Linked DNA regions of Struthio camelus. The protein of the gene in region 2 purifies or fractionates together with the protein of the main gene of each other region. This does not show direct contact. Links are inferred from orthologs where the notes say so. Each region holds a gene or a part of one and is shown on either strand. Other genes may lie near its edges.

Evidence for each region. The genes of interacting proteins can lie anywhere in the genome.
Region 1: the proteins of SMARCA1 (region 2) and CECR2 purify together in Homo sapiens (affinity purification with mass spectrometry; 3 studies listed by BioGRID and IntAct, with this or other methods). This does not show direct contact. The link is inferred for Struthio camelus from reciprocal best matches to the Homo sapiens genes SMARCA1 and CECR2.

The regions. Positions count from the first base shown.
Region 1 is NC_090942.1:70,502,759-70,510,554, reverse strand, and holds the start of CECR2 (chromatin remodeling regulator CECR2), read right to left. Parts: upstream 3,001-7,796; coding exon 2,824-3,000; intron 1-2,823. UniProt on the Homo sapiens protein: Regulatory subunit of the ATP-dependent CERF-1 and CERF-5 ISWI chromatin remodeling complexes, which form ordered nucleosome arrays on chromatin and facilitate access to DNA during DNA-templated processes such as DNA replication, transcription, and repair.
Region 2 is NC_090952.1:9,558,191-9,565,595, reverse strand, and holds the start of SMARCA1 (probable global transcription activator SNF2L1), read right to left. Parts: upstream 3,007-7,405; 5' UTR 2,962-3,006; coding exon 2,857-2,961; intron 1-2,856.

The sequences.
Region 1 (7,796 bases), on a different chromosome or scaffold from region 2:
CAGCAGATCTGCTCAGTCAGGGCAGGACAGGTCCAGATGGCCTATCACTATAGCACCTTCTGACTAAATACGGGCAGAGCTACCAGAAGAAAACAAATTGGTGAGGGGAATAAAAAACAAAACAAGAAATAATAGTTCTATTTTTTTTAAAAAAAAGAAAAAGCGTATTAAAAGATGAGATTTTGTCCAGTTTGGGAACTGCAGTGACCACAGCAGTGAAACTCCAATCCCGCAGTGCAGTAAGGTCTGAGCAACTGAAAAAGCAAGGGGTATTTGTTACATGCACAACTATAGGGTTAGCTTAAGACTTTCACCATCGTAACAATGTTGTAAGAGTTAAGCAAACTCTTCACTGGAGATACACTTATATTAGCATAAAAAGGCACCAACCAGGTTCTTACTTGAGAACCAACCTGGGCCCTCCCCATCAGGGGAATATCCTCCAGGAGCATCCGACTGCATCCCAAGCAAGGCCGGCCTGGAGGGACATGGGGTGCGCAGGTGGACAAACATTTGCTACAAAGCACTTTGAACATCAGAGCATTTCAGCTGAAACACTCTGAAGTGACCCGCGTGAGCTTTCCATTTCTATTTGAATACATCGGAAAACAGGTTCCGATGGACTGGGGCAGTCACCCCCTCAATTACCGCATCCCAGATGAGGGACAGTAACTTTTGACCGAGGGGACTGTAACTTCTCAAACCACTTGCCCTCAGCCACAAGTGTACCTCCTGCGATAACCAAAGCCAGAGTAAGAAAATTTCATCTGTAGATGATCGCATAGTTTCATTTTTGGTGGCTAGCTATTCCCCCCCCCCCCCCCAAATATTGCCTTGGGGGCTGGCGTTCCTTAAACGCCTAGAAAGACGGCCATCTCTGTTCCGTGCAGAAGCCCCTGAAACTCAAAGCCTCTCTCGGATGCACCAGACTATCCTGTGAGATGGCCAGAAGGGACACAGGCTTTCCTAAGTGAGAAACCAAGGGAGAAGCCTTCTTTATGCAGCTGACTAACATACAAATCAAGAATCACATAAAGCAACACCCTTAAAAAAAAAAAGTATTACTTACTAAGTCCCTTTATGGTTTTGTTCCATAAACAGTGTACGCTCTTTGTGCAACACACCATTCCCAGATATCCCTGAAACCATTGATGAGAGGGGAACAACTACACCAGGGAAGAGGTAACAAGACGGTGAACTTCAAGGAAGAGCAAATTTTAAAGCAGCCTGCACTAGACTGCTGATATCACACAGGGAAAGGGAAGGAGATGCACTCTGCACGCCCGAAGACGCAAAGCTATCACAGCTGCATCTGTCCCCTTGCAGCACGCAGATTTTAACTGTGATGTCCACTGGCACTCGTACAAGGCGTCACCCTTTAAAACCAGTCTCCGCAAAACGCAGCAGGCCATCCCCACGCGCAGACGTTGCTGGCGACGTTTTCGGTGGGCTAGTCGTGCTTCATATCGCTCTCAGCCCCAGCCCGTGCGCACGCATCTCCTCTCCCCCTGCGACCCCCAAAAGCAGTTAATTTGTTCCCAGTGATGTTAACTCCCCCACCCTAAGCGTGCTCTAGGAACCAAAGGGGAGCCCACATTTACTTCATTTGTGAAGCAAGCCAGATGCTAATTGCCTCCAAAGGTGAAAGGCTAGCGCCTTGGCCCTTTTATCATTGTAAATTCAGGTTCCTCCAAGACTTTGCGCTGGCGGCCGGAGAGCCTCCCCCTTTAATGGTTTTGCCTCAATAGGAGGGGGAGGGGAGTTCCCTTTCGCAAGAAGTTGCATCATTGAGAGACCTTACCCCCTTTCAAGATTTCGCACTGCATAAGGGATTCCCCCGCTTCAGAAATTCGCATCCTGCTCAAGGCGTTGTGCTCTTTAGGGCTTCGCACATCCTATTGAACTTTCCAGCATCGATGCAATTCGCGTTCCCGGGGCAATTACTGTCTTTAAAAAACGCACGCCACCATGTTATTCACCCGGTTTATTGCCAATGTGCTGGCAAGAATAGCTTTTCACCGCAAGCACAAAAGATTTCCTACCCCGACACACTTTGTTTGCAACATTTGTAGCCAGAGCGCAAAATATTTACAGAACATTAGCCACACGCAAGGGAAGGGAGGGGGGAAAAAAAAAAAAAAAGGCAGCACGGGAAAGTTGCACAAGGAAATTTTGGAAAAAGCACAAAACCAGCGAGTCGTCTCTCCGCGGGCGGACAGATAAGGTGTTCGAGGCACCGCAGCTGGGCTGAAATTTCCCGTCTGCCCTGCACAGAGCCCCGTCCCCCCTCCCCTCCGGTCCCCCCCTTCCCTGCGCGGCGCACAATGAGCGCAGCCCTCCCCGGCGGATTAACCCGCGCCCGCGGGACGCGCCGGCCGGGCTGCAGGAAGGCGGCACCTCCGGCCGCCGCGGCCAGGTGGGAACCGGGCCGCCACGACCGGCCGCGGCGGTGCCCGCTGGGGGGGCACCGGAGCAGGGCAGGGGGGGCGCCGCCCCGCCTCTCGTCGCCACCATTTTAGGCGAGGTTGGAGGGGGCGCGGGGACCCGCGGACCTCCCCCCCCCCCCGCTTTGTGTCTGCGTGTGTGCACGGACAATGCGGCCCCGCCGCCGCGCCCGCTGCCCCGGTCGTGCGCCCCGTTTCGGGGGGGGGGGGGGGGGGAGGGTCCTGCCTGCCGCCGCTGCTCCGGGACGGCGGCACCGAAAGTTTTGCGAGCGCGCCCGGCGGAGGCGCCGGAGTCGCCGCCGGCCGAGGGGACACCGGGGAGGGGAAGGAGGCGGAGGAGGGGGGGGGGAGAGGCGGAGGTGGGAGGGGGGGGTCTCACCTCGATCTCGAAGTCGGGCAGGCGGAAGGCGGTGCGGAAGAGCGAGCAGAAGTGCGCGATGGCCGGGACTTCCCACCAGGAGCGCAGCTCGTCCAGCGCCGCCGCCGCCGCCGCCTCGGAGCCGGCCGCGCCGCCGCCGCCGCCGCCGCCGCAGCCGCCGTCCTCCTCCGGGCACATCTCCCGCGGCCGCCGGCTCTGCCCGCCCGCTCGCTGCCTCACTCCGCGGGCGGCTGCGCGCCGCCGCCGCCGCGCTCCGCCCGCCCCCCGGCGCCACGCCGCCCCGCGGCCGCCCCCCGGCGGCCCCGCGCTGCCCCCTCGCTGCCGCCCGCCCGCCCGCCCGCGCGCGGGGCCGCTCCGCGCTGGCGCGGGGGGCGCTAGGGCCGGCGGGGGCGCTGCTGCTGCTGCCGCTGCTGCTGCTGCTGCTGCCCCTGCTGCGGGCGGGCGGCGGCCGCCGCCGCGCCGGCCCGCCCGCCTCCGCCTCCCCGCGCCGCGGCCCTCGCCATGCACCGCGGCCGCCGCGCCGCCGGCAGCAGCAGATGGGGCGCCGGGGGGGGGGGGGGAGGGGGCGTGGCCTTTGGGTTGGTGGGGGGGGTAGCCTCAGGCGGGCGGGCCAATAGGGAGGTGGGAAGGACGCCGGTGGGGCGGGGCCGCGAGGGGAAGGGGCGGGGCCGAGGTGGGAAGGGGGGAGCCGCGCGGCCGTGCACGAGGAGGGGGTGGAGCTGGCGCTCATCACAACAACAGGCCCCCCCGGCGCCCGCCCGGGCCACGCCTACCGGGGGGGCGGGGCGTGGGGCGAGGCGAGGGGCGGGGGCGGCCGTGCGCTCCGCGGCCGGCGTGAGGCGAGGGAGCGGGGCGCCTCTCGGGGCTGAGCCCCTCGGAGACACCTCGCAGCCCTTCCTCAGGCCCGGCTGGCTTCCTTCCCCCGCCGCAGGGGAGCCCCGTCCGTTACTGCCGCCGACACGGCTGCCACTGGGGCCGCTCCCCGCCCCGCCTCAGCCCTCCCCGACCTCCCGCCTCAACGGTCGCCTCAACGGCCGCCTCAACCGCCACCTCAACCGCCGCCGCCCGCCCGGCCTCCCTGCGGGCCGTCGAGCAGCCCAGGGCAAGGCCTCGGCTCCCCAGGCGGCCCGGGGGCACCTGCCCTGCAGCGGCCCAGCTGAGCAGCGGCCAGTGTCCCCCAGCCTGCCATGTCCTGGCCGGGCCTCCAGATTTTCTGTTCTCGCTTTATATTTGTAAGTGAGGGAGGCCAAGTGGCACTTCTCGTTCTCCCTGCGTTGCTGCGGCAGAAGGAGTGGGGAGCCCCTCTCTCTTGAGGTGCTTTAACGTCTCACCCGGGTGCCCAGTACCTCCATTTCTCCTGGCCCTGCAGTGAAGAGAGTAACAGTGCCCCGTTTGGAAATCTGTTAAGAGAAAAGCATTCAGCAAGAATTAGGTATTACCTTCTTGCAGGACGGACTATAACAAGGTATAGAGATGTAATGAAATACTACGCTGGTAACAGCTTTGTATGCTGACCCTGTGTTACGTTACAGCTGCTCAGTTTGCCTCTACAGTCCAGCTTCAAACCAGTTGCAAAGTATTACTGTGCACAGCTGTGCCAGCTTAGGATCTTACCTCCAGTGAAACGCTTGCAAAGACATGTTTAACTACAGTTTAGGACTCCTTCCTCTCCTTCCTTCCTCTCCTTTCTACCTTCATCTGGCTGGGGACGTTTTTATACCAGCACTACTTTTCCTAGCCCTTCCTTTCCTTTACTCTGTTAACTTTCTCATCTTCAGCCTCTCCTCTTTCTGTCTGGCAGAGGCTGACAGGCTGTTGCTCGCAGACGTGCTGGGGTCCGTGCAGGAAGGCACACCTGAGATACCTACAGCCCAGGCTGAAGCCTGAGGCAGTGTAGCATTGATAATGCCTTCAAATCTTGCCTGTTTGATATCCCCAAATGTGTTCTCAATGAATGCTGGAAACGTGGCAGAGGTGTGCTCTGCCCCAACACTTGGAGTCCCCCAGCAGGCTCGGCTGAACGCCTTAGGGCATGGTTTCCGTTACCCCCAATCCGGCTTAGGCTGCCCCCAAAAGGAGCATCATTTTTACGCCTTCTGACAATATCCCTGCCCTGTCCCTTGTGTCAGAGTTAGCAATCGTCCGGCTGCTGGGTGATGTGGCTCACTGATCTGACAGAAGGCTGCCTTTTTTTTTTTTTTTTAATGATGGTGACAAAGAATTAGTTTTCTCTCGGATCAGCAGAAGTGACTTGATTAATCCCCCCGCCATGTGGTCACCAGCACTGATGCAAAGAAGCAGTGAAACGCCTGAGAAGGGACGGAAGGGAGAGTACAACCTCCCCTTTCAGGAGTAGCCTGAAGACAGACTGGATCAGGCGAAGGGGAAATCACATTGCAAATATCCTGGTCTGTCTCTGGTTTGAAGGCATAAGCGAGGGAAAGGCTGGTAGCATCAGCTGGCAATGGCATTGTTGCTGCTGAGTTAATACCAGCTGACATAGAGCAGCCCATGGCTCTCAGAAATGTGATTTCAAACAGTCTCAAGCATCTATTTTTGATATTTTTTAGTTTCCTCTCCCTGTTTCTTTTCTAAATGGAAGTTGACAATAGAGAATAAGAAGAAGGTATGAGAGCTGTGCTGTACCAGCTGTACACGTGTGACCACGTGTACAGCTGACCACGCTGTACCAGCCTTACCATGAAAACTTTGGCCAAGGGTAGGAACACTTCATTTAGAGAAGAAACAAAGATGCAGCAGTTGGGCTGTCAGCAAGAATAAACAATCTCTGAGTTCATTGCCCTTTTTCATATTGCAGGATCAAGGGATACCCAATGAAATTGGAAGGAATCAAGTTTAAAATGGTGCAAGGAAATACTTGTACTGTGTACAATTAACACACAGTATTTGTTACCATAAGGTTTCATTGAGGCTGGGAGATTAGCAGGATTCAGAAAAGGATTAGACGTTTATATGGAGACTAAGAACATTCATGGTCACATTAGACAGGATATAAATAAATTTTAGGAGGGATATAAACTGTCAGGCTTCAAGGCACAGCATAACCACTAACTGATGGTGAGGGATTAGGGAGAAACTTCCCTCGTGGCCAGGTTAGTCTATAACTGTCCACTACAGGGTTTCTCGCACCTTTCTTCGAAGTATCAGACAGCAGCAACTGTCAAAGTGAGCATACTGGACTGGAAGGGCTACTGGTCTGATCTGGTATGGCAATTGCTCTGCTCTTCTGTGGGTAGGGGCTGCAAAGGTTGCTTTAGCAATGGAGGGGCGATGAGGATAAATAGTGATATGGGCATCAGTGGTGCATGGAGCAGCATCAGGCACTCCTCAGGGTCCAACCCCCTTCTCATTTGCTGTAAATTCCACACCCACAACAGAGAACGTCTCCTGAAACACACGCCGTCAAGCCAGTTTATAATTTACCTTTCTACGTACAGTATTTGTGTCTGTTTTCCCCAAAACTACTTTAAAAAAAACCTTTTGCCTTTGACGACTTATTATTTACGTGAAACCAATATGTTGTACTGAAATCATGACTCTATTTCCAGATGCAGTGACTCTGAGCCTTGGTACTGAGCAAAGAAGTGTCTGATCTCTTGTGTATTGTATCTGCCTGCACTGGATTAAACCAGCTTCAGCTAAGATATGGTAATCGCTAAAGAGGAGTTTGCAGCCCAACATGAAATACTTTAACAACACACAGTTCAGACCAGTATAAAATACCAATAGCTCTGCGTGAGAAATCTTTGGGTCACAAACCCTCAGACACAGATTTCTGTGGGACAGTTAACTGCAGTATTACTTGCCTTTCAAATAATGCTGGTTCTTCCACTGAGCAATCTTTTTGTCCTGTTGCTATGTAAGGGGAGTTTATGTTGCATTTATGTCTTGCTCTGTCTTGACATTCCTCCCTGAATTCCTGTAGTGTCCAGCTATGGCTTATCTTATTGCTGCATCTTAGCTTGTTCTTGACACTAGGTCAAATAGCTTTGTAGTATCCCCACTTTCTATCCCATTAAGAATTTTGTGAATCTTAACAAAGTCTCCTAATCTCTCTTTTTTGTCAGAAAAGCTACAATCCTAATTTCCCCTAAGATTTTTTGAATTAATTTGGCTCCCTCTATCGTCCCCGTTCTTTCTGTCCAATTGTGTCTTCTCTTATATTGTTATCTTTTTATGCAAGGAAGCTGAGAGCCGCCCATGATTATTTAAGGTAGATTCACTTTGCCAGATTCTTACACTGTTCTTAAATCACTTCCTTAGATTTATTATTCAAACACAGAAATCTCTGCTCTCCCTCTGCTGCTGAACAGAGAGCAAAGGCCTGATGAATGCAATCCAGCATTTCCTCTGTGATAAATATCTCCATTCTCAAATCCTGTGTGGTTTTTCCCCTCCATGCCACCTTTGGTTTTGAGTTTCCTGCTCATAACCAAACAAAACCAAAGCCTGTTGTGACCAGGCTTCTTTCCTGGTGTGCTGTAGTCCTCTTGATCAATACTTATCTAGGCTATTGGTTAGACTTTACCTACCTACTGATTTTTCTGTTCAATATCCACCCCGGCTGTTCCCCTCCCTCCATATACGTTCCTCCCTATCCCCATGTTCTCCTTCTTCCTTTCCCCTCAAACGGGCCATCAATTGAATGCGTATACCGTGTAGAGCCGCACTGTGAAAGAACTCTGGGGCTGATGGAGCAAATCAAAGCTTCACGTTTTTGCTGCTCAGCATTGACACTGGGTTTCTGTGCTGCTGTTCCTTTAAGAAAAATGCCAAATTCCAAGTGCCAAAAAACAAACAAAAAAGTTCATAGGTGACATAGGGACTGAAAGTCCCCTTTCCTGTAGGACAAAATCTTTCATCTGGAAGTAAAAGGAAGGGAGGAATGCTTTCCACTTTCTCTGAAAAGACCTGAAATATTTGCTCAATTTAGCAAAGATTAAACGCAATAT
Region 2 (7,405 bases):
TATGTGGAAGGACATAAATAAGAGGAACATAATCTGAAGCTGGAGAACACCTTTCGAAGTTTTGGCCCAAAGACATAAATCTCTGCAAAGATGAACAGTACTAAGTGTATAATAAAGTTGTTTGACAATTTAATGATTTTATAAATGCCTGACTTCAGCTTCCAAGGCCAAATGGTTATGTTGCAAGTAGATAGCATCAGAAATTTTCTATGATAAATGACTTAACTTCTGACAGCTTGATTCAGAAAGAAGTGTTACAAGAGGGCTGTTATGCCAACATACAAAAAAGCAGTTCATACACATGTGTATACCCATGCCTCCATTAGATTACTATGTAACATAGCATAAACTTCAGTGTGAAAGACTACCAATGCTAATACTGGAAACAATCTCCTTGTTACCAAAGTGACAAAATACTTCACAGTAGCCCATTTCAGATGTTTCTTTCAGCTCCCCGGAAATAAATTAACATGCTCCTAAATGAACATGTAATGTAAATGAATGTGTCTCAAAAAATTAAGTCATCTGTCTACCTCAGATGAGTCTGAAGTTTCTCCTGGACAGAGGAGAATGGTTCAATATTATGAGAATCCCCTTGGAAAGCTATTGCATTACAAGTCCAAAGGCAGATGGCTCTAATACCAGACTGTCTGTCCTGTTACTCAGATTTCCCTAGCAGAAGGAAATTTCACACTGGCCATACCCATCCAGCTTATTCAGAAATAATTACTTGTGAATAATACGCTTTCCCAGTTAAACAAGTAAGTGAACTGGTATGTAAATTTACCACAGCTACAGCATGGTAAATTCACATTCTACACCGTAACCTTCAAGAAAAACACTTCAAGAAAAAGCAGGGTGTTCCCTGCTCACCCTCACTCCTCATTGCAGTGTTTCTTCATCTGATTTACAGATCATTGATGGCCCCACAATATCAGAAGTAATGAACAGGAGGAGACTATCAAAAACTGAAGTAACACACAAACAACTTAAGACATACGCATCCCAGTATCCTTTCTCTTCCTGACAACTTACATAGTGAAACCATAGCATACTCTTTCCTCAAAACATTGCTGGTGGAGCTAGATGGGTAGCAGGCACGACCACCACATCTGAACTTGCTGCTGGGTAATATCCTGCCTTATAAAAAACTAGAGCTTGCCAATTATTACGTTTTGATATGAATAAGAAAGCTTTTCTCTTTTCCTACTAACTGTAGCATATGTCTAATACAACACAGAAGCACAAAACAATTCATAAGTTTATGGGAGTCGTACCCCAGAAACAATACGCTAGAAACAATGCATCTTCAATAGTAAGAGGACTGATTTAACAGAAAATCTGATCAGCAGAAGCCTCAGTGCAAAAAAATATATATACCAGCAAAAGGGTACTTTCACTTTTAACTCATTTTGTGCAAGGAACCATCTGGTTATTACCCACCTCTACCCTAAAAAAATTTTCCACTAAAGATTAAACTTGAGATAACATAGCCCACTGAAAAATTGTGTCATTTAAACATCTTATGATCAATAACATTGCACAATTCTTTCAAAAACAGAGCCCGAGGCATTCCAGGGACCCAAAACACTTTCCCTTAAAATCTCTATTAACTAGTCTAAACAAAGCTACTAACCTCAGGCTGTGAGAGAGAATTCTATCTAGTCAGTGCAATAGTTTGTCCTAAATTGGATTATCCACATGAATGCCTAAATAAATGACTGGGAATAAGAACTGCTGCTTTGGTCGACTTTATTCCTGTACCCTGTGCTGCTGAGTTTTCTAAATAGATGCATTAATCAGAAGGACCTCCTTTTGTGTTGAACTCACATATGCAAAGTGGAAACACATTGCAAACAATCATTAACTTCGGACTCTATTAGACTGCTGCTGCAACAAGAGACTATGTATAGCGAAGCAAAACCTTGAAAGGGGTAAAGGGGCGCAACAGGTTGCATTATATCCCATTATTATGTAGCTTCCTACCTGTAGAGTTATGGAAGTGAAATTCCATAGTCTGAATGAAAACCTCAAACAACAGCAACCTCCTTTTTTTTTTCCTCCTCCTTAAGAAAGGTAGGGAACAGTATGGTTGATACATTCTAACCTGTTCACTACTCCCAAAGGATCTCGCCAGATACTCATTAGACATTTATTATCAATTTTGTATCAGCTGAGATGTATACAATTTGACAGTACAAGCTGTATCCAACAGAGAGATAATCCTTTTTTCTCCCGAACCATCAGGTGATGTTCACAAGTACACTGCCCTCTATTTCACAGCCAACCGCCCTTCTCGCACAAGAGTGCAAGAAACAGGCGTTCTTCTCAGGGAAGAATGGACTTCCAGGGAGAAACAGACTTTCCCCAGCTGGAGTTAAAATTCTGACGGCGCTATCATCATTTCTGCCAGCTTCTGCAACGCCACAGCACCCGGGCACGAGTTCTCACAGGGCTCCTTCCTCAGCTTACATCTTGCTCGGTTTCCAAGGATACCTGAAAACACCGCTGCGGCTAGCGGCCTTAGCCCGGCCGTCCCGGTGGGACCTTTTCCTCCGACCAGCCCCGCAGGCCGGCGGCCGCCAGCCGGGGCAGCCTCTCGGGAGCGCTGCGCTCCGCACCGGGGCTGCGCGCGGCCGGCAGAGCCCCAGGCGCCAGGGCCGAGGCCGCCGCCGCGCTGCCCGCCCGCCCCGCGCCGCGGCCGAGCCCGGGGCCTCCCCGCCGCCCCCGCAGAGCCCCGACCCGCCGCCCCCCGCCGGGCGCAGGGCAAGGGCGGCCGGCCGGCCGGGGAGGGCGGCACAGGCCCTGGCGCTGGGCGCTCTGCGGCCCGCCCGGGCCCCCTCCCCGGAGCGGTACCTCCTCGGCGGCCGGCTCCTGCGCAGAGGCCGCCGCCGCCGCCGCCGCGGAGGTGGACGGCACTTCGCCATCCGAGCGGGCGGCGCTGCCGGGGCCGGCGTCCATGCTGCGCGCGGCGGGGCCGGGCCGGGCCGGGGCCGGTGGCGGGGCGGGGCGGGGGCGGGGAGCGACCCCACCGCCCCCAAACAGCGCGCGGCCCGGCCTCCGCCCCCCGCCCGCCTTCCCGCGCCCGCAGCTATCGCGAGACCCCACGCCGCGGCGGCGGTGCCACGACACGGCCGCTCCCGCCTCTCCCGCCGCCGCCAGGGGACGGGGCGTCGCGCATGCGCACACGCCGCGGGGTGGGGTGGGGGGCGGTGGTTGGAGCCGTGCCTGAGGCGAGGCGAGGCGGGCGGGGCGGCGCTTGGTGCCTCGTGCCGCGGCGCTGCGAGGCTGCCGCCGCCATCTTGCGGCAGCGCCGCCTCACGGCGAGGCCGCCGCGGCCCGCAGGCCTTTCGGCTCTCCCAGGCACCGCCGTGCTCTCAGAGCCAGTAGCCGTGACGGTGTGTAGCCCACTACAGCCACTGCTAAGGCCCCCGCGCTGCCGCATCTGTAATTGTCAGGCCCCGAGGGACGGGACGCAGCCTGCTGCCAGTGGCAGCTCAGCCCAGGCATGTCCCCGCGCCCTGGCACGGCCGTCGTCCCGGCTGCTGTGGGAGAGCGAAGCGTCCGTGCTGACATGGGGAGCGGTAGGAGCTGAGGAAAGAGGCAACGCTGCAGGAGCCAGGCTGTGGAAGAATACGGTAAGAGATAGGAAACGGTCGCAGTTGCAAATCATATCCCTTGGTTCTAAACAGTGCTGCATATCACCAGTACGTCTTCCTAGGTGCCCCATGCTCTGTTCGGGGGAACATGATTCCTTAACATCTGCAGAGCTAAGGTATACCAAAGGTGTTCCCAAGCCAAGAGTAGTTTAAGGGGTATTCATTAGAAACATTGTTTTTAATCATTCTAAATTCAGCAGTGATTACATATTTCATGTTGAAAGCTGCACTTATGAAGCCACTCAGTTTGCTTTTTGTCAGCGCGCGTATTTCTGATTGTCCGTACAAAGAGTTCAGGTTCTAAGCTGCAGAGCTCCAGCTTGGCTCATTCTCCTGAAGGATTCCAAAACAATCCTTGAGATGGCGGAGTTAAAAAACAGAGAGCTCCAAATCATCCATTTTACCTGATGATTACTTGCAGAGGCAATACCTTGTCCAAAGAAATAGATCAAACCCCAGCCCTGTAGGCAGAACAAGCAATAAAAGTTTTTTCATTCCAGTAACAAGTTCAGTATCTGTTATCAAGATCTTTCAGCATGAATCAGCAACTAAACTGAGCAAATGGGTTATGCAGTTCACATACACTGCATTTAGAAAGGTGCATCAAAGACCTCTCTGCAATATATACATAGTGTCCAATAAAAGATGTCATTCTGTGAAGAGTTAACCCTGTATTTCTGAAATGTTTCCATGACTGCCTGATCGTTCTGGAATTCAGTTTCTAAATCATGGTCTAGCATAGACCACAAGAAGCTCTGAAACTTCTTGTGAAACAGCTGCAAAATAGCAGTGCTATTACAAATTATTAAGCACACTACTGCCTTCAGTGTCTGTTGCATAGTTTGCAACAAGGCAAGGTCCACAGTGGTCTTCAGTAGACCTTCCAGGTAATTTATTTTTAAAAACCTTTGGGAAGTACATTTTTCTTAGCACAACTGAGGAGTGACACGACTGTTGCTAAGAGTACTCCAAATACCTTTTCTAAGCAGGGTCATCTAGATCATAAAGCTTAACGTTACCTTTGCAAAAGTCTCTGAGTTGGGGAAAATCTGCTCTGTGATGCATTTGTTCTTGCATCTTTACAGAAAACAGCTCACTAGCCGTTTTTAATACTTGACTTTCCTACAGCAGTTTCAATTGCTTGTAGCTTCTGTCTATACGAAGCACTCTCAAGTGTTTGTCACAGCTTGATTTTTACTTGAAATTCATGGGAACGTTACATGCCGTACAAAACAATCAAGCTGCAGCTTTCATGAAAGGTGCCCTTTGAAGATTTGTTACTTGTGTGCTTAGCATTTGCATTTGGCACTTTGCTTAGATGTTCTTAGTTACCTCCCATCGACTATGTTGTGTGCTCCTGCAGGTCCACAGACCATGAGATGAAAAATCACTTAGATATACACTAGTATTATCAAGTCATATTCCACAAATCTAATTAAATATAAAAGCATAATGTTTTTTGCATATATTTTACACCTTTTTATAGTTACATCTTTTGTAATACTTGTAAATTTCACAGAATTTCTCTGAAGTTTTTTGTTGGGGTGGGGGGGATGACACTAGCTGTCATGTTAAAGTTGTGGACTTAGCTATTACTTCTGTGGTTTCCCATTTTTTTTCCTCCCTTCATTTACAATCTGCCAGGCACAATTACCAGTAGTCCCCTAAACACTTGAGTTTCATAGCAAGGCCTTCTCTGTCCAGCTCAAAGGTGGCACTTGACATATTGTGTGACAGGCACTATATTTTCTTGTTAGACACAGAAAAATAAATTGCATATACTTAGGCTCATAGTGTCCTAAACTGTTACCATTTTACATTTCAAAAACTGCTGGAATATGGAGAGAGTTGGTGAGGTGTGGATCCAAAGATATTTTCATAGTTATCTCTAGATAAGACTATAAAGAGTCTTTCCTTTGTGATCTTGGACGGTAGATACTCAGCCTCTCCCAAACAAGTAGTTAATTGTGGTGGACTTAGTTTCTCTAAACTAAAGCTTGGGTAACTTTTTTTAAAAGGTCTCGATATTCTGTGAAATTGCATTATAGGCCAAATTGTCATAAGATTCCGTTCTGTATGAGTTCATGTAAATGAATTCTATAGGTACGTACCTATGGGTGTGGATGGAGAAATGTTACCACAAAGCTGATCAGAGAGGTAAAGTATGTGCTGAGAGATTGTGTGTGAAAAAAATCTCCCAAGAACTGATAAACTCCGGAGAACAGTAGACCTGTTGAATGCACAAGAAGTGATACACTCAGTACACCAACAGTTTGCCAAATCTGTAGAAGGCCACCAGCACACACAAGCATCAACAGGTCGTATAACTCAGACCACATCCAAGAAAGTGGTGGCTGTGGCTACTACAACTACACAAGCCTACAGCATCATAAATACACCTGATGGAAGAAAGAATGCCTTAAAGGACTTTCCCAGCAGCTACCTAGAAGCCACTGGCATGTCAGTGTGACCCTCTGCTTCTGAATAAACATCTGGGGCCAGCCACCTAACTCTTGCTCAGACCACGTAAATATGTGGTGATTGTGTGTACGTGTAATTGAACCGTGTGAGGAAATAAGTGAATGCACTGTGTGAATAACTATCTGTTAGTAATAAGAGTTTGAATCTATTAATAACTACTTAATAAAAGATGTCTTAATATCAGTTGTGATCTGTGCCCTCTCTTACTTAATCTCCTGTGAGTGAAAAGAGAATTTTACAAGAAAAGGGTAGTATTTTTGTCAAGTGCCACTAGATGGCAATATCATGCTATATTCGGTTCAGAAATCCTGCCTTCAAGGTAATTGGGCAGCCTATATATTATTTACTATGAAAGCAGCTCACTCTTAAAAATAATTTTATCGAGAATAGGAAAAACTGTATATACATTATATTTATGAAGCGTCTCATACCTACTTGTGTTTAATTATTTGTAGTACTTCATTCTGTACATTCAGTATGTTCCCTGCAATACAAAGATGTTGAGGGGGTGGGGAGAGGATTTCACATTCAAGAGACTCTCCATTAAATGCTATGGTCCAAAAATCTATATATACACACCTAGTCATTTGTAGTTTAAATATGCTGGCTATGAACTTAAACCACAAAATACATGTGAAAACACATGAGCTGTAAGCAGTAAACAGCTTTATAGACTGGAAACAAGTAGGATCTGGGATTAAAAATAAGTGCACTATCTGGGGAGTTTGGGAAAAACTAGTCTATGCGGGAACTGCTCTTTAAAAACAGTTTCCTGACTTTACTGCAGAGTTAACTCACATGGTTACCACCTTTATCTATATAGGCTAGCCCAAGTGTGAATAACCACAGCACACTAACCATTCATTACCTCAATTTCAGTGTTATGCTCTTGCTTAGTTAAGTTTTGCTTATATTAGATACCTTCCCTTCCCCCTCCCCCCAAAATCTCAGTTGTTAGCTGGTTCAGTCTCACAATTGCTTTAGTTGGAAAGAGTGATGACAGAGCTAAGTGTTCCTCTGATGTAATCTTATACATTGTAATCTTAACAATTAATCTGCCAGGATTCTGAGGGTACTGATAGGCCTTGGAGGCCCTGACCAGCCTTACCTGGGGCCTCCACCCACACCCCCTATCCATGAGCTCAAGAGCCTGATTTCACCTCAGCCCAGGGCTTCCATCCCTGCCCAAGCTCACCATCAGGGGAGCAAGGAGCTGAGCGTGCTAACGTAGCTGGCAGGGCAGGCCCAGGAACAGCAGTCAGGTT